Linked DNA regions of Cricetulus griseus. The protein of the gene in region 4 interacts with the protein of the main gene of each other region in a pairwise test. Links are inferred from orthologs where the notes say so. Each region holds a gene or a part of one and is shown on either strand. Other genes may lie near its edges. The genes, in order: Ptpmt1, Otx1, Hoxa1, Rgs20, Faslg and Glrx3.

Evidence for each region.
Region 1: the proteins of Rgs20 (region 4) and Ptpmt1 interact in binary tests that used the Homo sapiens proteins (3 or more experiments, as listed by UniProt). The two-hybrid records come from large-scale screens. The link is inferred for Cricetulus griseus from reciprocal best matches to the Homo sapiens genes RGS20 and PTPMT1.
Region 2: the proteins of Rgs20 (region 4) and Otx1 interact in binary tests that used the Homo sapiens proteins (3 or more experiments, as listed by UniProt). The two-hybrid records come from large-scale screens. The link is inferred for Cricetulus griseus from reciprocal best matches to the Homo sapiens genes RGS20 and OTX1.
Region 3: the proteins of Rgs20 (region 4) and Hoxa1 interact in binary tests that used the Homo sapiens proteins (3 or more experiments, as listed by UniProt). The two-hybrid records come from large-scale screens. The link is inferred for Cricetulus griseus from reciprocal best matches to the Homo sapiens genes RGS20 and HOXA1.
Region 5: the proteins of Rgs20 (region 4) and Faslg interact in binary tests that used the Homo sapiens proteins (3 or more experiments, as listed by UniProt). The two-hybrid records come from large-scale screens. The link is inferred for Cricetulus griseus from reciprocal best matches to the Homo sapiens genes RGS20 and FASLG.
Region 6: the proteins of Rgs20 (region 4) and Glrx3 interact in binary tests that used the Homo sapiens proteins (3 or more experiments, as listed by UniProt). The link is inferred for Cricetulus griseus from reciprocal best matches to the Homo sapiens genes RGS20 and GLRX3.

What each region holds. Positions count from the first base shown.
Region 1 is NC_048599.1:85,841,095-85,845,215, reverse strand, and holds the start of Ptpmt1 (phosphatidylglycerophosphatase and protein-tyrosine phosphatase 1), read right to left. Parts: upstream 2,801-4,121; 5' UTR 2,731-2,800; coding exon 2,383-2,730; intron 2,291-2,382; coding exon 2,210-2,290; intron 1-2,209. UniProt on the Homo sapiens protein: Lipid phosphatase which dephosphorylates phosphatidylglycerophosphate (PGP) to phosphatidylglycerol (PG).
Region 2 is NW_023276807.1:84,695,354-84,699,395, reverse strand, and holds the start of Otx1 (homeobox protein OTX1), read right to left. Parts: upstream 2,801-4,042; coding exon 2,704-2,800; intron 1,861-2,703; coding exon 1,709-1,860; intron 357-1,708; coding exon 1-356. UniProt on the Homo sapiens protein: Probably plays a role in the development of the brain and the sense organs. Can bind to the BCD target sequence (BTS): 5'-TCTAATCCC-3'.
Region 3 is NC_048601.1:89,186,605-89,190,785, forward strand, and holds Hoxa1 (homeobox protein Hox-A1), read left to right. Parts: upstream 1-1,381; 5' UTR 1,382-1,495; coding exon 1,496-2,144; intron 2,145-2,673; coding exon 2,674-3,029; 3' UTR 3,030-4,129; downstream 4,130-4,181. UniProt on the Homo sapiens protein: Sequence-specific transcription factor. Regulates multiple developmental processes including brainstem, inner and outer ear, abducens nerve and cardiovascular development and morphogenesis as well as cognition and behavior.
Region 4 is NC_048595.1:158,247,441-158,250,940, forward strand, and holds part of Rgs20 (regulator of G-protein signaling 20), read right to left. Parts: intron 1,603-3,500; coding exon 1,229-1,602; intron 1-1,228. UniProt on the Homo sapiens protein: Inhibits signal transduction by increasing the GTPase activity of G protein alpha subunits thereby driving them into their inactive GDP-bound form.
Region 5 is NC_048598.1:30,345,254-30,348,295, reverse strand, and holds the end of Faslg (tumor necrosis factor ligand superfamily member 6), read right to left. Parts: intron 1,430-3,042; coding exon 1,035-1,429; 3' UTR 501-1,034; downstream 1-500. UniProt on the Homo sapiens protein: Cytokine that binds to TNFRSF6/FAS, a receptor that transduces the apoptotic signal into cells. Involved in cytotoxic T-cell-mediated apoptosis, natural killer cell-mediated apoptosis and in T-cell development.
Region 6 is NC_048596.1:63,474,010-63,477,509, reverse strand, and holds part of Glrx3 (glutaredoxin-3), read left to right. Parts: intron 1-1,620; coding exon 1,621-1,793; intron 1,794-1,974; coding exon 1,975-2,036; intron 2,037-3,500. UniProt on the Homo sapiens protein: Together with BOLA2, acts as a cytosolic iron-sulfur (Fe-S) cluster assembly factor that facilitates [2Fe-2S] cluster insertion into a subset of cytosolic proteins.

The DNA.
Region 1 (4,121 bases), on a different chromosome or scaffold from region 4:
AAACCAGGCCCCCTGAACATGGGTGACAATTAAGAGGCCTGGGCAGTCTAGCAGTGGGGCCTCTAGCAGTGGAACCAGTATTTATTCCTAGTGGACGAATGGACTTTGGGAGTCCATTCCCCATGGAGAGATACTCTCTCATCTTAGAACCACAGGGGAGGGCCTAGACCCTGCCCCAAATGATGTGACAGACTTTGAAGATCCCCCATGAAAGGCCTCACTCTCTCTGAGGAGTGGATGGGGGTTGGTAGAGGGTATGGGAGGATGGGAGGGAGAGGGAACTGGAATTGATATGTAAAATAAGATTGTTTTTAATTTAAATTAAAAAAACAGCAAATGACAGTGCCTCACAATGAGAGACCAAGCTTTGTCTGTGTAGCTTCAGTCACCCCTCGATTTATACAACTGACCACATTATGTCCTTAGACTAACAAAAACAACTGACCACATTAGTGAATATTAACTCTGAGACCTTGTGACAGTACTTGGGGAAATTCAAGGAAGAGTGACATACTCTTTTGTTCCCCTTTTTTCTTTTTTCAGAAAGGGCCTCATATAGCCTTGGTTAGTCTTGAACTCATATCTTGCTTCTGCCTCTGGTGCTGGGATTATAGGTCCTGCACCACTACCACACCTGGTTTTTATTCTGAACTGGGCTTCCTATATACTAGGCAAGCATTTTATCAACTGAAACAAATCCCCAGCCTGCTCTGCAGTGCAGTTTTTCTTTCTTTTCTTTTTCAAGACAGGGTTTCTTTGCATAGCCCTGGCTGTCCTGTAACTCACTATGTAGACCATAATGGTTTCGAACTCAGGTATTCACCTGACTTGGCACCCCAAACGCTGGGATTAAAGGTGCGCCACTATGCCCAATCCTGGAAGGGGTGTGCTTTTCTTTTTTCTTTTTTCCTCTCTTTTTGGTTTTTCGAGACAGGGTTTCTCTGTGGCTTTGGAGGCTGTCCTGGAACTCACTCTTGTAGACCAGGCTGGCCTCGAAATCACATAGATCCACCTGCCTCTACCTCCCGAGTGTTGGGATTAAAGGCATGCGCCACCAACGCCCAGTGGGGGTGTGCTTTTCTTATCTGTGTGACTTTGCTTTTAGATGTAACCTCATGTAGCCCAGGTTGCCCTCAAGTTTTTGATACTCCCAGCCGCACACACAGAGTGCTAATATTACAGGTATGAGCCACATCCCCTCTTTTTTTTTTTTTTTTTTTTTTTGGTTTTTCGAGACAGGGTTTCTCTGTGTAGCTTTGGAGCCTATCCTGGAACTCAGAGATCCGCCTGCCTGTGCCTCCCGAGTGCTGGGATTAAAGGCGTGGGCCACCAACGCCTGGCCCCCTCCTTATATTTATTTTTTCTGTTTTTTCGAGACAGGGTTTCTCGGTGTAGCCCTGGATGCCCAGGAACTCTGTAGACCAGGCTGGCCTCAAACTCAGAGATCCTCTTGCCTCAGCCTCCAGAGGGTTTCAGCTAAGCCACACCCCCTCTTAAAAGGAGGTGCTTTTCTTAGAGTTGGCCTTCATCTCCAAAGCTAACTAACACATTGCCAATTGGTGCTCAAATAAGTGTTGAATGAGAATGAATAAAAATCGACAAGGCATGTAAGTCACAATTTTAGTTACCAAAATCACAAATACAAGACGGGTGTATTAGCACATGCCTATAATCTCAGTACTTGGAAAGTGGAGGGAACCTAATCAGATCAAGTTAATTATTGACTTTAGACCCTGTCTCAAAAATAAACAACAAATGCAAAGTAACATATACGTTTACAATTTTGTGCATAAAGCACTGCACCCCTGGTCCCGATTTTGAAGGGCTTGCTTGTGCCCTGTCTGGTGCAGAACTCCATGTTGGCCTGGAACTTCCAGCAATCCTTTCTCTTGCCTGTGCTAGCTGGAATTCCAGCAGTGAGCCACCCAACTGGATTAGCTCACTCTCTTTTTCAAACAGTGCCCAAGGCACTTTTGAACTCAGGGACTCTAAAGATTCTGCCTCAGCCACCTGAGTCGCCAGAGCTCCAGGCTCGCAGACTTCCTTCTGGCTTATCAACTTTTCACCTGCAGCCATTTACCTTGACGGGCATACTCAGGGCACGAGAAGGCAACTAGGTCTCTGACACTTGTCCGGGAGAGACAGGCACCCGGCAGCGTCTCTCACAGGCCCGAATACTGGCCCAGGCTGGCGGGCCCTCGGTCCTCACCTTCGCGGTGTTGCACAGGAATCTTGTCTCGTACTCTTCGTTCATGGTGATCACCCCGCGCACATTCTCGTCCAGTACCAGCTGCCGAAGCAAAGAGAGGGCTCAGCGAGGGCCGTGGGGCGCCCACCGAGGCCCGGGGCCCGCTCCCGGCCGGGCCCGGCAGCCTCTCTCACCCGGCGCGTCATGCTCCGCAGCGGCAGCGCGCCCAGCAGCACGGTGGAGTCGATGCGGTGGTACCAGTCGCGGTGCGCCCAGCCTCTCACACTGCCGCGGAACACGGTGTAGAGCAGCGTCGGGTAGAAGAGCACCCGGGCCAGGCCGGCCTCCAGCCACGCGGACGCCGCCATCCCGCCCCACCCCGCCAGGCGCAGCGGCGAGCCGCCGGCCCCCGGGCTCGCGGCCAGCCACCGCGAGAAGGACGCGGAAGGCGAGAGCTGCGGACTGTTCGGCCCCTCCCGACTCTCGGAAGCTGGGTCCCCGCGGTCCCCGCCGGGCCTCTGGGCTCCCGGGACTGGCACCATGCCTCCGAAAGAGAGGCGCCGCGGCGGAGGCTGGAGGGCTGGGGGGCGGGGGGAGGGCGCTGGAACGGCAACGAGAAACGAAACTGTGACCCTGCCTAGGGAGGAGGGCCCTCTCTCCAACCCCTGACCTGGGGCGTGACCCCGGGTGCATCCATCACCTGGGAGAAGGATGAGCCGAGAGGCTCCTCTAAACCCAGGGAGGCCCTGGAGGATCCAGCACTGGGGTGAGCGGGAGTGGACAGAGAACCTGCGTGATGGCCTACAATCCAGTCTTTCCATTTCTTTCTTCTGTTTTGAGACCATGTCACACTATATAGCCCTAAATACCTCGTACTGGCTATGTAGACCAGGCTGGCCCAAAACACAACAAAGAGACACTCCCGCCCCTGCCTTCCAAGTGCTGGGATTAATGGCATAGCCACCACTCTTGCAATCTGCCTGCTTCTTAACATTAAGTCCTACTCCCTAATCCCAAACCCGCCCTGACCAAGTTAGAATATACATAGTATGAAAAGTATATATTAATAGTAAGAAAAGTAATTTTCTTCATAGCACTGTTGTTTTTATTTTTTCTCTATTATATGCCTTTCACTAGAAGAGAAATATTACAGTCTATCATAGTGACACATGCTTTTTTTTATAATTTAACTTTATTTTATGTGCAGTGGTATGATGGTGTGAGATCCCCTGGAACTGTAGATACAGACAGTTTCAAGCTGCCATGTGGGTGCTGGGAATTGAACCCAGGTCTCTGGAAGAGCAGCTAAGGCTCTTAACCGCTAAGCCATCTCTCCAGTCCCGTGACACATGCTTTTAATCCTAGCACTTGGGTGGCAGAGACAGGTGGACCTCTGTGGGAGTTCAAGCCTGTCCTGGTCTACATAGTGAGTTACAGGACAGCCAGAACTACAGAGTAAAACCCTGTCTTGAAAAAACCCACACACAAAAAGAAAAAATATATAACTCTAACAAGCCAGGCACGTACATGCCTATAGTCCCAGATACTCAGGAAGCTGAGGCAAGAGGATCCCTTGAGTTCAAAACAATCAGCCATGGAGCCACAAAGATGGACTCAGTGGTTAGAGCTTGCTGCTCTTCCAGAGGATCTGGGTTTGAGTCCCAGTACTTATATGGTGGCTCTCAACTCCAGTTCCAGGGGACCCAAGGCTCTCTTCTGGCCTCCACGGGCAGTAGGCTCACAAGTTACCCATGTGTATAAAATGAAAATAATAAATAAATAAATCCAGTCTGCACAACATAGTGAGACTTACTCCCTTGAAAAGAGAATACCCACTTTTTTCTATTATTTCTTTTCATTTTATATGCATTGCTATTTTTGCCTGCTTGTGTGTCTATGTGAAGGTGTTGGAACTCCCAGAGCTGCAATTACA
Region 2 (4,042 bases), on a different chromosome or scaffold from region 4:
TTGCTCGGTGCGCCCAGTGGCTCTGGCACGGACACGGATGGCGGTGCTGAGCCTGGCGAGATGGAGGCCGGGCTCCAGATGGACGAAGCAGTAGGCGTACTCAGAGAGGACGCGGCTGCCACCGGGTTCCCACCCAGGCCCGCGGCCGCAGCAGCCGCGGGATTGGCGGAGGCACTGGACGCTGAGCTAGACGAAGAGGCCGAGCTAGACACGGCAGGCGGCGTGAACTGGCCGCTACTCTCCGAGCCCGAGCTCTCGCGCACTGGAGACGACTTCTTCTTGACCGGCCGGCTTTTCGTTCCGTTCCCGCTCTGCTGCTGCTGGCGGCACTTGGCACGGCGGTTCTTGAACCAAACCTGCAGTGAGCAGGGTGAAGGAGAAGGGATCAGGGGGCTGGCTAGTGGAGCTCACAGCTCCTCCGCCCCTCGGACTCACACCCCGCCCAGGATCTCAGGGACCTCTCAATCCCAGCCTCTACCCCTCCCAGTCTCTGGCCCTGCCAGACCCTGTCCCCTCCCCCGCACGTGCTAGGTCCCCAGCTCTGGCTCCCTCCCCCATCCTTCTGCGCAAAGCCCCCAGTCAGCCTCCACCGCAGGAGGGATGCGCACCTCCCCAAGCCCAGCGCAACTCTGCCCAAGGGCGGAACGTTTGCGTCTGTCCAGCCAGAAGTTCAGCCATCTCTAAGCTGTTGCAGTTGGCTGCTTCCCCGCAGCCCCGTTTTAGTTTGGAGGCCCTGTTTTCCAAGAACAGAGCTCAGGAAACAGCGGAGAGTACAGAACATCGGAGAGTAGGGCAGTCACCAAGTCTGGGGCCCGAGGGGTTTCACCGAGTCGGCTCCTGGAGACTGGAGTTGGGCAGGGCAAATATTTGGGTGGGAACAGAAGCAAGGCTGGAGGCTGAACTGAACGGAAGCAGTACTCCAGTACTGGGATTCTCGTGAAGGAAGCCTGGGTGAGGTTTCCTTGGGCCTTTTGGCTCCAGGTGGGGTACCAAATGGAACGATAAGTCATAAATTCGCACTCCTTTTGGAGGGGCCCGGACACGGGGCATTGCATTCCCAGTCCCTTCTCGAGCCTTCAGGGAAAGAAGTTGAGACAAAAGACTCTCGAGGAAGAGTTTTAGACTAACTCAGAACTCCTATTTTCTGAACTGTTTCATTTTAGAAACAGTAAACCCAGCATCTGGATTTTGCACTCGGCCTCCACTCGGCTGGAGAAAACTCCAAACCATACCGACTCCACCCTCAGAGCACACTCCAAGGCAGATTGCGCTAGGCTGTGACCAAGTTCCATCTTGCACTTTTAGAATCCCCAGGACTCAAGGGAAGGGTAAGAAAGACAAGAGCGGAAGGAGAGCTAAGGCTCAGTAGGAAAACGCCAAATTCTGTTGTAGCCAGGAAGCAGGGGCCATTATCTAACCTTCTGGGAAAGTTACACCCGGGGGACACGGCTGGCCTTTCCAAAATCCAAAAACCGACTTTCAACAATGAAAGCGCCCTGGGGACAAGGGCTAGAGAGATGTTGGGCTCTAAGCCATTACTTTTTAAAATGTTACCCCCCTTTAGCTGACTGAAGCCCAGCACTAGGGGGAGTTAGAGAGGGGCTGTCCAGTCAGTGAATGGGCCCCAACACCAGATGGCCCAGGTCGGATCTTCCCCGACCGCTCCTAGCGCCCCTACCCTAATCCTAGAGTCCCAAAGACCACGCACCTGGACTCTGGACTCTGGCAGGTTGATCTTGAGCGCCACCTCCTCTCGCATGAAGATGTCCGGGTAGCGAGTCTTTGCGAAAAGGGCCTCCAACACGTCCAGCTGTGAACGCGTGAAGGTGGTGCGTTCCCGTCGCTGCTTCCGCGGGGTGGCTGTGGGGACATACAAGGGCACCTGGAGTCAGCAGTGGACCTCGAGGACTGGAGCTAGAGGCCACACGCAGGTCTTCTGGTAGGTCCAGAACCCTGCCATGGAAAGGAAAGGCCGACCTCCGCGCAAAAGCAAACTTCCCTGCCCACAGGTGGGGCAAAGTGTATAAATTGGGCTAGAGGCTCCTGTCTGAAAGAAACATCAGGGCCTCAGCCCTCCTTGTCTCTCAGATAAAAAACAAAGCCATCCCCTCCTCATCTCCCTAAGCCCACTTCTGGCTGAAAGGTAGGAAGTAGAACAGAGGTAGGTAGAAACAGGACCTGGGAAAGCTTTCCAAGTGAATAAATTCAAGCAAAGAAGTAGGATCCAGAAAATAAATTCGGGGTTCAGTTGGAGTCGTCTGCCACCACGGAAGAGCTGGGTCAGGTCCCTGGTCTCTAGGGCACTCTGACTAGGGAGAAAGAGCTCTGCTTCTCAAGGCAGCTAGACATAAGGGAAGTTTGGCTGTTTACATTAGGGCCTATCGAGTCCAGATTCCTCGTGAAATGTTTGGGCGGGCAAGATTTTATTTTTTTAAAAAAGCAACCGGTGGGAAATACGTCGGTGGACAAACATGCTTTCTCTAGCATGTGAGACCACAACAGGAGCAGGCACCACAAGCTCAAAAGTTGTAGGTCACAGTTTCTAAACTCAAACCGGAGAGCCTGTAGCAGATCTGGGCAACAGACACAGAGATAATCATATCCCTGGGCCTGTTTGGGGACTGTGTGGGCTCAAACGTTAAAAGCTGGAATCCCCCAATATTTGCACAGGCTTGGGGGTAGGGACATAGGGCCACCGCTCACCAGGATAGCCCACAGAGGGGTGTAGGAGGTCCATGGCAGGGCCAGCTAGGCCCAGCCCGTTCATGCCGTATGGGGGTTGTTTGAGGTAAGACATCATGCTAACTGCCGGGTGGAGGCGCCCCGACGGATCCAGGGGGCCTGGGGCCAGGAGCAGTTCAGGGCTCCCACTTCGAAGTCCTTCAAGCTGTTGCTTCTGGGGGCCTGGCCTAAGGAGACAGGAGACACATGGAAACCGTCACCCGCAGTCACTTTGGCTTTCAGTTCCTATAATCCTAGAATGGGGAGGGGGGCAGGCTAGGAACTTAACAGGGCAGGCAACCCAAGAAATTTCTCCTCCAAGCTCAGCAAGCCGGCTTCTTAGAAAAGTAAACTTTCCCCACATCGTTCCTTCCTCTTTTAGGGCTTGACAAGGGCCAAAGACACTCCTTGAGTGTCAACAGGAAAGAAAACTTAAAAGCGCGATCAGGCCGAGGAGGTGAGAGCCGGGACCGGGGAGGGTGCAAAATCCCAAGTGTAGTCTTTTTTTTTTAGTGCTGCGGAAGCAATTTGCTCAAGCAAATGTTCACTTGGCGCCGGGATGGCAGGCCGTACAGAGCGTACGTACCGGGTTATTTTGTTTAAGTTTCAAATGTTTTTGAAAGAGGGACAAAACCGCTGGCACTACAGAGGTCCAAGGTTAGTACCCCTTGGATCGCCCAGGCAACTGCCCATTTTGGTCACATCATTCCTTCAGAGATCTCCAGAGCAGCCCCCTCCCCCAGAGTCCCAATCACCATTCTATCTGACCTCTCTGGGCCCCTGACGCTAGGAGATGGGTGAACCGGAATTTCAACGCACTTCTAGGGTAGATGTGGCCCAGGCCCGGGTGAGGCGGCGAGAAGATGCCAAAGGCGCCACAGTAGAAGTGGCAGTTTCAAGAAGCCGCCCAAGGTCAGGGGTGCCTCAAAGACGGTCACCCGTCCTCCTAAGCCCACGCAGGCCCGACCTTCTTTCTACCAAGTCCGAGAGAGCACACCGAGTCCCACCAGGGTCTGATAAAGGATGACCAGCCCAGCGGCTCAAAGCATGCTGGGGAGTTCAGAAGCCAGAGCACCCTGGATCGCGTGGGCTCCTCGCCGTCCTCTCCTGAACTCGGTGGAGAGCAGAGAACTAGGCCTCAAGTCGGAAAGCTCCCGCACACCCAAGCTGGGAGCGCTAGGCTCGGCCGAAGACACTGCGAGCCCCTGGCGCTCTTCTCCAGCGGAAGAAGGGGTTCTGGGGGGGTAGGGCTGGGACCCGAGAGGGGGGCTTCTAGCTACACCCGGCTTTACAGGGAGCCCAGGGTGGGAACTCAGGGAAA
Region 3 (4,181 bases), on a different chromosome or scaffold from region 4:
GGGGTGAGGTTGATGGAAAACAGGACCCCTGTCCTGGGATGATGCTCACATTTGCACGTGTCTCTCTGGGGAGTGACCTGAAGGTTCACACAAGCAACTACACAGTCCGTTGGAAAGTATACAATCCACTCAGCCATCTGTCCACTGCCCCTCCCACCTGCCAGTCCCTCCCCACCCCCCAGACATGCAATAGGGGGCGGTGGCAAGAGGAGGTTTTCCCACTCCTAACAAGCAAGCCCCTTATGAAAGAGAGAAATGTGACGCGGGAGGTCAGCATACTTTGTAAGAACTGTGCGATCCGTCCTTCTGTCCCGTCCCTCCGTCCCTCTGAGGCCTACGCTGGAGCGAGCAAGCTCCTGGGTCTCTAAGAGCAGACAGAAGGCCTGCAGCTCAGGCTCGGCCCTCATGCCGGCCACGTCTGCTAGCGTCATCTTTCTCATCTGCCTTCCACCCTCAAACTCCAGCAGCAGAGTTGCTCCGGATCCTGAGGGACTACCAAGAGCAAAGCTGACTGACTGGGAAGGAGAAAGGGGAAGAGATCCAGAGAAGAGGGAGGGCAGAGAAGAGAGCAGACACCCGGACTTTCCCAGAGAGCTGGGTTCCTAGGGCTCCCCCGCCCCCCTGGGGTCGAATTACAGAAGCTCCCATAGCCACGCTATTGGCCCGTAGGAGTCAGGGCAGAGGGCTCTGAGACCCTCCGGATGAGGACAGTAGCTTCTTTTCTTTCTCTGGTCCCCATCACACCCACCCTGATTCCTCCCAGACAATCCTTTGCGCACGTCCCCCTACATTCCGAGGCGGGTGAGGCAGTGACGCAGCCTTGCCCTAGGCGCCTGGGTTCCAGGCTCAAGTCTCTGCAGGGACTGGGTGGTGGCGGCCATCCCGAGCTGAGGGGATGATGTGTGCTGGATTCCTACCCTTCCCACCCTGTTTGCTCCCGGCTCCGCCAGGGTCCTTGAGACCATGCAGAGAGCTCTGGCCTACCGAGGCCCGCCTCAAGAGAGCCGAGAGGCCTCGTCCCCTCTCACCTCTTGTCAGTTCAGCTTTCTAGGCTGGGTGGGGAAAGGGCCGCGGAGGGTCGCCTCCCATCCCCCACATCCTGGAGGCGGAGGCGAGCAGAGTCGGGCGCGCGCAGAAGTCAATCTCTACTCCCCTTGGCCCCAGTGCTCCAAGTCAGCTCTGGCAGCGGCCGGAGCAGCCGCCGCGGCCCGGGCAGCCTGGGGGGGCGACCGCGCGTCACCTAGACTGAGGAGCGCCGGGGATTTAAATGCCACTGAAACGGTGATCCATCACCGCCGCAGCCGGTAAACTTTCGCAGGCGGCTCAGCCATTGGTTGACAAAGTCACGTGTCCTTCCCCTTGAGTCCTCCGCCTTCCCGCCCCGCCTCTTGCGCACTGTACATTCATATCATTTTTCTTCTCTGGTCCCATGGAGGAAGTGAGAAAGTTGGCACGGTCACCCAGGGCTTCGCAGGACCCAGTCACTCAGTGACAGATGGACAATGCAAGAATGAGCTCCTTCCTGGAATATCCCATCCTTGGCAGTGGCGACTCCGGGACCTGCTCTGCGCGAGCCTACACCTCTGACCATGGGATTACAACTTTCCAATCCTGCGCGGTCAGTGCCAACAGCTGCGGCGGCGACGACCGCTTCCTAGTGGGCAGGGGGGTGCAGATCAGCTCGCCCCACCACCACCACCATCACCACCCCCAGCCGTCTACTTACCAGACTTCTGGGAGTCTGGGGGTTTCCTACTCCCACTCGAGTTGTGGTCCAAGCTATGGCGCGCAGAACTTCAGTGCGCCTTATGGCCCCTATGGATTAAATCAGGAAGCAGACGTAAGTGGTGGGTACTCCCCGTGCGCTCCCGCTGTTTACTCTGGAAACCTCTCATCTCCCATGGTCCAGCATCACCACCACCACCACCACCAGGGTTATGCTGGGGGCACGGTGGGCTCGCCTCAGTATATCCACCACTCTTATGGACAAGAGCACCAGAGCCTGGCCCTGGCCACGTATAATAACTCCTTATCCCCTCTCCACGCCAGCCACCAAGAAGCCTGTCGCTCCCCTGCTTCAGAGACGCCTTCTCCAGCGCAGACCTTTGACTGGATGAAAGTCAAAAGAAACCCTCCCAAAACAGGTGAGTCCTGCCGGCTGGCAAACAAATGTTGCTTGATTTTGAAAGGGGCCGGTGCGCTTAGTTTCCTAGGAAAGTTAATGATTTTAAAAGATGGGTTCTTGCTTCTGTCTAGTGTCTTCTGGAGTTATAGTGTGTGGTGTAGGATGCCCAGGTGTGTTGGGGCAAAGCAGTTTCTGGACCTGGCATTTTCAAAGGGGCTGATGCTTCAGTGGTCTAGAAGTAGGAAGCGTGTGTGTGTGTGTGTGTGTGTGTGTGTGTGTGTGTGTGTGTGTGTGTGTGTGTGGTGTGGTGTGGGTGGGAGGTGTCGGTGGTGGTGGAGTTTTGTTAATATCTACAGGCTCCATTAATCAGAAGCCTGACCACGCTAATGGTTGACTTCAGGTTAACACTTTACATACACATCGTTTGTCACTAGAGCTTCCCAGCTGGGTTTGTGCTGAGCAGTTAACCGAATGTTGCCCCGAACATTGGGCAATCGGATAAGGGTTAAAGAATTTTTACCTTTTCCTCTCTTCCTCCGTTACCCCAGGGAAAGTTGGAGAGTATGGCTATGTGGGTCAACCCAACGCAGTGCGCACCAACTTCACCACCAAGCAGCTCACGGAGCTGGAGAAGGAGTTCCACTTCAACAAGTACCTGACACGAGCGCGCAGGGTGGAGATAGCCGCGTCCCTGCAGCTCAACGAGACCCAGGTGAAGATCTGGTTCCAGAATCGCCGCATGAAGCAGAAGAAGCGTGAGAAGGAGGGGCTCCTGCCCATTTCTCCAGCCACTCCTCCTGGAAGCGACGAGAAAGCTGAAGAATCTTCTGAGAAATCCAGCTCCTCGCCCTGCGTTCCTTCTCCAGCATCATCTACCTCAGACACCCTGCCTACCTCCCATTGAGGCCACTCCAGCCCAGCTCCGTAGTCCAGGCTTCTCCCTGGGCTAGGGTTTCTTACCCAAAGCACATCTCTAGCTTATCTTTCTTCCTTTACAGTCTCTCTTTTTCTTTCTGGTCCAATCCAGAGAGCTCCTGGGCAACATAATGTAGTTCCATAGAATTCTGGAGACTTGGTTGTAAATTAAATCCTTAATCCACATCGGGTGCCCATATCAATTTCTGGTGGCCCCCAAAATTCCTTCCTCACTGTTGTGAGAGTTTTTTTTACACAACCCATGGTTCCTTTCAGATGTCCCTTGGAGGACAGTACCCTTTGCCAGCAGGCATTTGAAGAAGGGAGGCATCTCACCTTTTATCTGTATATTGTTCTTCTCTACCTGGCTCTTAAGTAGGACACACAAAAAAGAGAGTATCCAAAGGCTCATGAAGAAGAGATTGACTGAGTGTGTTTACACAATTAATTCACCCCTTAACTTTCTCTTGAGAGATTTATCTTTATACAGATTTTCTAGAAACATGCAGAACTATATCAAACAGGGTGGGCAAACTTCCAAAACTGGTGATTATGGGTGGACAAAAAAGGGGGGACCCTGGCATTCAAACAGAACCAGATTCCTCAAAAGGTAGCCTCAATTTGCTCTTGCAGAGTCAAGAAGGCCTGAGAAGCCCAAAGTTCAGAACCTTTGCTGTGCCAAGACTTCCCAAATTACCGATTTCTTCTTGCTTCTCTGGCCACCCTCCACTTAAAAAGTGTGCTGGATTATTTGTAACCTAAAGGTACTCTTTTCAGTCACCCTTTCTTTCCACAGTTATCTTGGCTGGATACAATGTATTTTCAGCTAATTGTTAATGTGATGGCACAATGAATGTATATTTTGTGTGATTCGTGAATAGTCTTCTGCATGTCGCACAATGTTTTGATGTCCCTGAAGTACCACACTGAGTTCTATCAGTTATCTTTTGTGAGCCTACGATAGTCCCCCTTTCCTGTACAATCATGAACAGCTCTGAGATCCCAGAGGGATGTGATCCAGAGCAGAGTTTACGGGTCTTAAGACGTCTGTAATAAAAAATATTCAAGTTTTGGGTATGCTTAAGCATCTGTGTATTTGGCTGGGCTACAGTTTGTGTCTTACTACAAAGTAAGGGGAAGG
Region 4 (3,500 bases):
CGCGCTGGCTCCCTGCCTCCCGCCCTTTGCTGCGTGTCTGGGTCTAAGCTCCCGAGCCTTCCTTTCTTCCTCCTCCTTTCCCTTTTCTGACTCCTCTCCGCCTCCACGCTCGCTTTCCCAGGGCTGGGCATTCCCTAGGCTCGCCTCCTACTGGCGGCGGCGCGCAGCACTCGGAGGCTGGGGGCACTCCTTAGTCCCAAAGCTCGCAAGAGGAGCCCCCACCTAGGCTCTTCTCTTCCAGTAGCACCGAATGAGTGGGTGAGACGCGGAACGAGCTTTGAGGGTTCCTGCAAATCCCTCTCTTTTTATTCTCTGGCCTTAGCCTGCGCGGGTCTATTCAGAGTGAGTGAATGAGTGCTGGGACCTCATGAATGAAGTGAGCTAGGGGACCAGCGCAGGGATGAAAGGAGGTGTCGTGAGAGGAGCGGATACTCTGTACCCTGGGTCGTGCCTGTGAACTGCCGCCTCTGCAGGACAATTCCTGCAGACGCCGCTGTTCCCGCTACCCCGAGAGCTACCGACCTCTGCTCCCAACTCGTTTGGTACTGTTCTCGCTCTAGACGGTGGTCTCACCTGGTTCGGGTAAGCCAGAATCGGATGGCCCCACCTGGCGACTGGGATGGCAGGACAACCTAAGCCTGGACTCGGGTCTCACGCAGTCCCTCGGCAACCCCTGTTCCCTTAGGACTCAGAGGCGATGGGAAAAGCCCCTTGCGGCCGCGCCACCTGACTCCTAGCAATGAAGACTCCCAGCTCCCGGGTCCCCGCGGCTCTCGGAGTAAGCCTTGGAGTGGGCCCCTGGGGCAGTACGCCTGAGCTCCGAGGGCTAAATTAAAGCAGCAAAGTGACCTGACACAAAAATAACACCACGTCATTTCCTCCCTCTCCTACAGAGAGGGCAGAGGAGTGGGAGCGCCAACTCAACCACCGGCGGTGGCGAAGCGCTGGGATGCTCTGTGAGCGAGGCTGGGGGAAGGAGCTGCAACCACAGTTGGAAAAGATCCTCGGAGGCGTCAGAGGGCTTTCTCCCGCTCCTAGGAACTGTATACAGGGAATGAATGGCTTGGGAGAAAGTAGCTTCTACTGCTTCCGCGGATGTGGGAGTGTCAGGGAGCCCAGTGTGTTCAGCGTTGTGCGGACTGGGTTGAGTCAGTCGGGTTAGAACGGGTGGGAAAGCCTGGGGCTGCGGGAGGCCAAGGATGGGTTTAGAGGCGTCCCCAGTACTCACGCACTCCGGCGAACTCCTCCCAGAGCAGGGGTCCTCTTCTCTGGACTCTGGGTTTGGACTTGTCAGTTTCAGATGACGACTCCTCGGAGGTCGGCCTGGCAGTGCCATTGAGGCAGCGAGTAGGAGCAGGAGGCGGCGGGGCTCTGGAGAGAGCCTGGAGGCAGGCCAGGCAGGAAGCTGAGGGAAGAAGTCCCAGCGTCGCGGGCGAGCCGCAGGAGGGGGACGCCGCAAAAGACCCGAGAAGAATCGCGTGAAGCTGCAGAGCAGGCTAGAAAGGTGGTGGAGCAGCGTCCACACGGCGGGAGAGTCTGGGAGCTGTGCAGGGCGAACGGCGCGAAGAGTGTGGGCGAAAGAGAGAAACAACACGTTAGGATCTTGTCCAGTCACCTACTTGAGACCGCTTGATGAAGCATTTTGAGAATTTACTTTGAGGGTACAGGAGAAGGTCGGTGAAAAGCAAAACAAAACCGCGAGGTCAGAGTCTCCCTTCACTTCTCCCCTTCTTTAAAATGATGCTGTTCAACGCTGTGGCCCTTGGACCAGCAGCAGTTGCCAATACCCAATACTCAGAGGCTCTATAGCTATGCAAAACTTGAGTCCCTACCCCAGCCTAGTTCATCAGAATCTGCTCGTTACAACCCTGTGGAATCTGTATGACGCTAAACGTGGCGTGCCTGTGTAAGAAGGTTTATGTTCACAGATAATTTTTGCAATTCTTCCCCTTTCTTCATCGGAATCCTTCTCGATGTGTCCTTTTCCAATAAACCACTACCTACCCGAGACAGTGATACACTTGGTTACCGGGTCCTACTGGGGTTGCTATTAAGTGAGACCTGGATGGTAGATGCAGCTGATTGAAGAATGCTAGACCCGCCTTAGGCTTTGGGAGAAAGTTGCTAGCCAACTTGGCCTTAGCGTTCAGTGGAGAGGAGGAGACCAGAGTTCGGTTTTGTAAGCATTCCTACTGCAGGCCTCTTTTCTGTACTCCATTTGTAAAACTTATTCTCAGAGTTCTTACAATTTCTGTGTCTTCCTAGGATACTTAGGCATTAAGAGGGTTGAAAGAAAACATGCTTTTTGTGTGTGAGAGGAGGAGTTAAAAAAATAGCATTCTTGGGCATATTTAGTGTAGCAGTCAGGAGCACAGGGTCCTAGAAATAGCCTTCCTACTAACAACCCCCAACTGTGGGAATGGAACTGTAACTTTAGAGTTTATCTACTTTTGTAAGATGAAAGAATGAAGTTAGTCTTTTAAAAGAACCTTTAGCTGGGAGTGGTGGCACATGACTCTAATCCCAGCACTTGGGCAGGCAGATCTTTGTGAGTTCAAGGCCAGACTGGTCTACAGAGTGAGTTCCAGGACAGCCAGGGCTATGTAGAAAGTACAGAGAGACCTTAGTTTGTTTTAAAGAATCTTTAAACTTTAATGCTTCTTGCCTTAGGAGTGTGAGGCTGCACAGTAGCTCAGCTAAGCCTGGGAATGAAGCTCATTTGGTTCCTTTCCTAGCATGCTTACCTAGCCCTGGGTTCAGCACAGCAAAACTGCCCATATGTCAGTAATCCCAGCACTGGGGAGGTGGGAAGGCAGGTGGGGATACCATCATCTGCCATCCTTGACTTAATGAATTTGAGGTCAACTCAAGGTGCTAGAGAATCTGAGAATCTGTTTCAAACAAAAGGAGGGGGAGGGGAAGGAGGAGGGGGAAGGGGAGGGGAAGGAGGAGGGGAAGATGAGGGGAAGGAGGAGGGACAGAAAGAGAAGATTTACAGCAGGATTGCCAAAAATAATTATTTCTAGAAAAGTTTTATTGCTTTAAAAAAGTGTGTGTGTGTGTGTGTGTGTGTGTGTGTGTGTGTGTGTGTGTGTGTGTGTGTGTGTGTGTGTGTGTGTGTGTGTTGAGACAAGGCCTTGCTGAGTAGCTCAGGCCAGTCTTAAACTCCATTCTCTGACCTCAGTTTCCTAGGTATGAGGATTACAATTGAGTGCCACCCTGTGCCTTGGTGTTGTTTGAAGGCCACTTGCTTTAGGCTTCCATTTTTAAGTCCTTCTTAGCTTTTTGGGCACTAATATTTAGTGTAGTTACAAACCGACCTAACTGCCAATCCAAACACTTCCCTCAAGCAAAACACAAAAACATTTCAATCTGTCTGTGAAAAAAAAAAAAGAGTAGTAGTTGCCAAGAAAAATGAAAGTGGAGGCAGGAAGCAACGAATAAAAGTGACAGTGTGTTGGGGCTCTGGTGGGGAGAGCGCCAGGGACAGCTGGGCTCAG
Region 5 (3,042 bases), on a different chromosome or scaffold from region 4:
TGTAAATCTTTCTCAGAATGCTCCAAAGCCATTATGAATGAAGAAACCATGGAGAAAAGAAACAATAAGCACATCTCGCTGATTTCCAAACACTATATCCTTAATACTTTTCTATATTCTGCAATACAATTTTTATTTGTCTTTTTTCACTAAGATTCACAAAATATATATATATATATATACTAGTTCTATTAAAGGAAAACAGCATAAGTAGCTGGTAATAAAAAAATTTTGAAGACTATTAGAGTTTATTGCCAAGAAACATTCAGATATCCACCACCAAATGTAACACATATGTTTCTAATATGTACTTTGTAATGCACACATTCTATTTATATGACTCTCTAGAATCTGTCTGTCTGCTCTCTCATACATACAAACACACACAGACACCATTGCACTGGAGACACACATGCCATTGCACTGGAGACACACATGCCATTGCACTGGAGATACACATGCTGTGTAAGGAATGATCTGTGCTTCAAACATCCCTCTTAGTTCTCTGTTAGCATCAAAGGTTGGCTCAGAAAACACCCGTTAAAAGTAAAGATGATGCCAATGAGACATTGGCCTCTTTCAGTCTCTAGCTTATCAGTCAAACCTGGCCCCCTTTTCCCATGCCTTGTATATTCAGATCATAACCATGTGTCTGAAAGATGGCCTCCTCTGAGGTAGCAAGTAGACCCACCCTGAAAGGTGAGTTTAAAAGTGTCCTCTTCAATGGCTAAAATGCTCTTGGCCATTTTTAGCATCAGACAGTTCCTTCTCTGTGCCTCTGCATCATCACATGGCAGCCCAAAGCTTTATGTTCCTTGGCCACAGTTCTCCTTCCATCTAGCTCACGATGGAGGCATTAAGGACCACTCTGGGAAATGAAGGAAAGTTGACCTGTTGAACCTTGTGATCATGAGGTCTTTGTGGCTCATTTTGTCTTGATTAATCTCAATTGGTCTTAAAAAGACACTCATTCAAGACAATATTCCCAGTACCCATAAAACGGAATAATGGATAATTCTAAAGTGCTTTTTCTGTTAAAGCTTATATAAGCCAAAAAATGTCTTAGATTCGTCAAAATTAATCAGAGAGAGTTGAGAGATGTTGACGTATAAATGGTCAGCACTGGTAAGATTGAATACTGCCCCCAGATAGCTGCTGTGGGCCCACATCTGGCCAGGAGTGCAGTAGTTCAACTTCTTCTCCTCCATTAACACCAGATCCCCAAGATACTTAGAGTTCCTCATGTAGACCTTGTGACTTAAGGGCTGATTGGTGCAAGAATGACCCCGGAAGTATACTTTGGAATATACAAAGTACAAGCCAGGGACATTGATCACAAGGCCACCTTTCTTATACTTCACTCCAGAGATCAGAGCAGTTCCATATGTGTCTTCCCACTCCAGAAGGACAGACCTTGAGCTGGGGTTGCCTGAAATAAACCAGAGAAGAACTTTCAGCCAGAAGGTCTCCCACATCTGATGGGCTAAGATTCCAAGGGAAAACTCTGGGCCCTTCCTTAACAAAAGCTCTATCCAGAAGGACAGCCAATCAGGGGTCAAAGCATGGTCCACCCCAGAGTTTCTTCAACACCTTTGTCAAATTGTCCACCCTAATTTAATCATCCATGTGATTGGGACAAATTTAGTGTGTGTCTCTGATTGATCTCAGGGAAGACTATTAGGATAATTTCAGTTCTCTGGAACAAACATTTTATGATCTAAACTAGTACCAACACCGCTGAGCTTGGGCATCCCTCCATAAAGAGAATGATCTCCAGAGTTCTACATCTGGACAAAATCTCATGGTTATGTGGTCCACTTCCTTGTTTAGTTTGGATTCCTTGGCCTCTTATTTTGGGCTAATCCCCTTCCATTTTGTTCACACAGCATTATGTACCTACACACAGCAAGTACTCAATAAGTGTTTGTGGACCCAGATGAATTTTTCTACAGCCTCCAAGTGATGACAGGAGGTATGGTACACCTCTTCTTGTGATATATAACTACATTTTTAATGTTTATATTTCTAATGGAGTTGCCCATGCCATATTATACTAAAACACTTATTTACTTTATAATCATAGGCTGAAAACCCACAAATGCCAGAACAATCTCTTCTTATTCAAAACAGTGCATCACTCACCCTTGGCTGCTCCTCTTGGACTTATGTCACAAGTCCCCTTGTGGATTTTGGCATGGTTGAAAAGAGTGCACTTTTTGTTTTATAAATAATCTCTCTTGGTTTATCTAATGGACAGAGGGCTTCCTTAAGAGTTGGGATAACTGTTCTTTGTTTCTGCCACAGGACTGTCAGCCTAGTAGACTCCCTTCCTTCCCTTTGCAATTCCTCATGCTGTGGTTACATCAAATATAACACATATGTCACATGTGCCCTTACATTTTCCCATGTGTACTTTAGCCCTTGAGGCCAGCTAGAATGACAGACCATAGCAGCTGAGCCTCACCCCATTGAGAGGCAAGGGAAAACTTAGGCAGATTCCATTAATAGCCCTGTGCCTGTGACTGTCACATCCCTCCCAGGAAGCACCAGCAATGCCCACTTCTGAGGTGTGACAAATACACACCACCTTTGCCAGTGTTGATGTCACACTCCCTTCAATCAAGGCAGCCATCTCCTCCTCTCAGGAAATGATGGCTGGGGCTCCTGTGCCAACCTGACATGTCCTTAACAGAGGTCACCAAGAGGTCGAGGCAAGGGGGAAATCAGAATTCTTCACACTTCAAACAGGAATTATGACCACTCTACCCTGAAGCCACCCTCTCCAGCTGGCCATTATCTACAGGAGAGACGTGCACTTAGTCAGAGTTTGTAAGCTCCAGAGCCAAAGGACAATATCCTCAGGGTCCAATTTATCTAGCCCAGACAGGTGTTTGCACATGTGTGTGTGCTCGTGCTCACGCTCTTGCAAAACCTGCATGGTTAAAAATGATCATTTCCCATCTTAAAGGAAATACAACAGGAAGTTTCTATCCTCTGTCAACAGTTTTATGCACATCCTCGTTACTGTCTATGCTTTGAAAT
Region 6 (3,500 bases), on a different chromosome or scaffold from region 4:
TAGTTATTAAATGTGGCAGTTAGGCTTATCACTCATGTCATGAGTGGAAATGACTGCAGATAGAAATGGTGATTTTGTGGTAAATGAGATTTTTTTTTTTAAACTTTTAAGTGCTTCTATTGCATGCATTCATTTTTCTTCAGGAGTGTATAAATATTTTGTTATTAGAATAAAGCCTTATTACTACTTTATCCTTAAGCATAACATTTCCAATCTGCCACTTTAACCCTTAAAAATGAAACCCTACCAATCAATCTTTCTAGTCTGCATGTAATTGCCTAAAGCCAAAATAAAGCCTTTTTTCAGCCAGTTACAGTAGAAACGAGCTAATATATTGGGAGCAGAATAACCATCAGCAGTCAGCCGTTAGCTGTTTACTAATGAACTCCCAGATGAGTGAAAACATTCAGAAACAGTGTTTGACTTCAGGCTGTGCATGAGCACCACACTTGAGTTGTAGGAAATGCAGCTTATGTGCTGCACGCTCACCCTAGTGCTTCATCTCAACAAACGGCAGAGCCAGGAAGTGACTGGGACTCAGCTGTAGATCCATGTTTTTAATAATAAATTCACTTTTGGGTGACGTCAGGTAAAACCATTGCAGTTAATCTTATGCTGGATTTTATGATTTGATTTCATTTGAAAATAATTGCTGATAGGAGGAAATCCTAGAGGAATTTTTAATTGGAAGAATAGGTTGTGATCCAGTGAATTGAAGACTATGTTTCAAAGAATGGTGAAATGAGAAAGAGGAAGGTGCTTTAGACTTGGAGATGTAATTGGTAAGAATTAGCATCTGGAAAGAAAAGTAACCTTTTTTCAGCCTGGACTGATAGGATGCTCACACCCACCCTTTCTTCACACTCATGCTTACACCCCTTCATTGTGAACACTTCACCAAAGTCTAATACACTCTTGGGACATAAATTTGTCACTATAGTGTAGAAAAAAATCATGCTACACACTGTAGGGAATGTGGAACTTTAGGAAAGCATCTATCAGGTTATAGCATAAGCTGAGAAGGAATGCTGTCAGTCTATAGACAGTTCATATGTAACAACAAAGATGATTTTAACATTTACTGTACTGTGATCACTTAGACCCAAAGAGAGCACTTCTGATTCCCATTCATCCTGCTCAGATGTGAAGATGAGAAACAGCTGCAGAAGTGTGTATGGGCTCACTAGAGTGGAAGTAAGGACTGTACTTGGGTCTCACTGTGGTCAAGCAGTGGTTAAAATAGCTGTCCTAGGTGTCCTGGTCAGTTCCTTGATGGAGAGGGAGGCAGCTATAGAGGGCTTTGTTCCATGTCAGGGTGGAGACTTGCCAGGCTGTCAGGGTTCTGCTCTTAGACCAGTGCTGTGTCTCCAGTTAAAGAGCAGCTTTGATAAACACTTACCCCACTCAGTGTTAATATAACACTGCAGTTGTGTTAACATATATGTTAAAATCTTGCTGTGTGAGGCTCTAGGTCAAATGAGGGGCTTAGCATTTTGTTCTTTTATACTATGCAGTTATTCTGATTCAATCACTGCAGGCGGGGTGGGCATTTCTGTCTCCTGGATACCATGTGACATTGTGAGAGATGCTGAATTCTCTTATTTCCTTGTTCTGTTGCAGGTTTCAGCAAGCAGATGGTGGAAATCCTTCACAAACACAATATTCAGTTCAGCAGTTTTGATATCTTCTCAGATGAGGAAGTTCGACAGGGGCTCAAAACATACTCTAATTGGCCTACCTATCCTCAGCTTTATGTTTCTGGAGAGCTCATAGGAGGACTTGACATAATTAAGGTTAGATTCTTTATGAAGACATTTTGTTTAGAGCATACATTTCTAATGTGTTATAATAAATTGAAACCATGTATTTCTTATTGCACCTAAGGTGAACACAGTATTTCTGATAGTCATTTGTCAGTATTCCATATTGGGGGTGTTCGAGATGGTTTATGCTGTAATAATGTCCTTCTTTCAGGAGCTGGAAGCATCAGAAGAGCTAGATACAATTTGTCCCAAAGCTCCCAAGTTAGAGGAAAGGTAAGTACCAGGAAGCTGGCCGCAGTGTGACCTGAGTATCTTAATAGTCTATAAATCCTGTTACTGCATTGTTCTTTCGGAGTAGACACCAAACATTTGGGTGTTTGCCTGTTGGGATTATAACTTGGTGGTTCCTCAGCACTTAGTCTTGAAAACTTGGGATGCTCTGATTTGGACTGGAGATGTTTTAGCTCAGCTTAGTGACTATGGAGGGTATATTTGCTGTTGCAGAAATATCACTTTTAGTGGGCCTAGGGCCTTATTTGGTTCCTGCTTTTTCATGTGAGCATAGCACTCTTGTGTTTTTGTGTGCAGCTGAAGTGCTGTGTTCTGTCCTTGAGTGTGGTAAGAGTTGAATGGGAAAAGCTCAGGTTTTGAGTGGCTTTTTTAAGTCACAGTAACAAAACTCAGGCAGACTCCAGAGCTGTGAAGCCATCCTTCTTTTTAATGAGGGATCACAGTCTGCTTCAGAAGTCTTGTGGAAGTGTTGTATTTTGATATGGACTTTTGAAAAGGACTGTTGTAATGAATATGAATTTATTAATTCACACTTTTCATATTAATAATTAAAAGGAATTATCTTTACATGCATTAGCCCATCAACTTTTAGTTGGAGCTTGAGTTTGTAATTTACTTGCTATTTCACATTTTGAAAATTTCAACAAATGTTTAATAAGAAAAATCATCTGTACTTAATTCAAGTACTCTTAGGAATAGAATTCCATGTATGTCATACTGGCTCAGTGCCAGTGGTCTATACCCTTTCCTTGTGATGAGATCCTTCTTTGATCTTTATTGTGGCCCATGTTGTCCTTGCCCTCTGAGGCTGTGCTGTTCCCACAGTGGCTCTGCATTTCATATTCTGGATTGGCTGGGCACTGTGCTTTCCTCTCTGGCCTGTTGTTGCCTTGTCTTCATCAGATCTTCTTTCCTGAAGTGCTATTTCTAGCTCTCCTGTGCTTTAGGTATGCACAGATACTGGCTAGAGCTGTAGAGAAAGCAGTGTTTGGTATATTTGGGGGAGTAATTTGAAGGGCTCCTATCTAGCAAAATGACGTGTAGTCTAGTAAAGTTACCTGTGGTGCATGAATGTAGGTGGTTAGATCATTTGCTGAGTGGGCTAGACTAGGTCTGGAAGTGTAAATGTCATGGCCTATGTGATCTGTTCACTAGACTGGCATCAGTTTTATTCTACAAGGAAATTTGGACCCATAGTGCTTCTACAACATGAGAGGAATGAAGAGAAAGTGATGTTACCCATTGTCCTTGTATTGATTTTCCCTAAAGATTTGTGAATAAACTTTGTTCCAAATTTGGGTGATTAACATTCCTGATAGCAAGTTAGAGCATGGCATATACAATATGAAGTATCAAGTTAAAATGAGAACTGTGATTATCACCAGTTAGTGGTGGTTGGAGGGCTAAGGTTCGCCTTCTTACCTTTGTAGCCAGCAACCCTGCTCT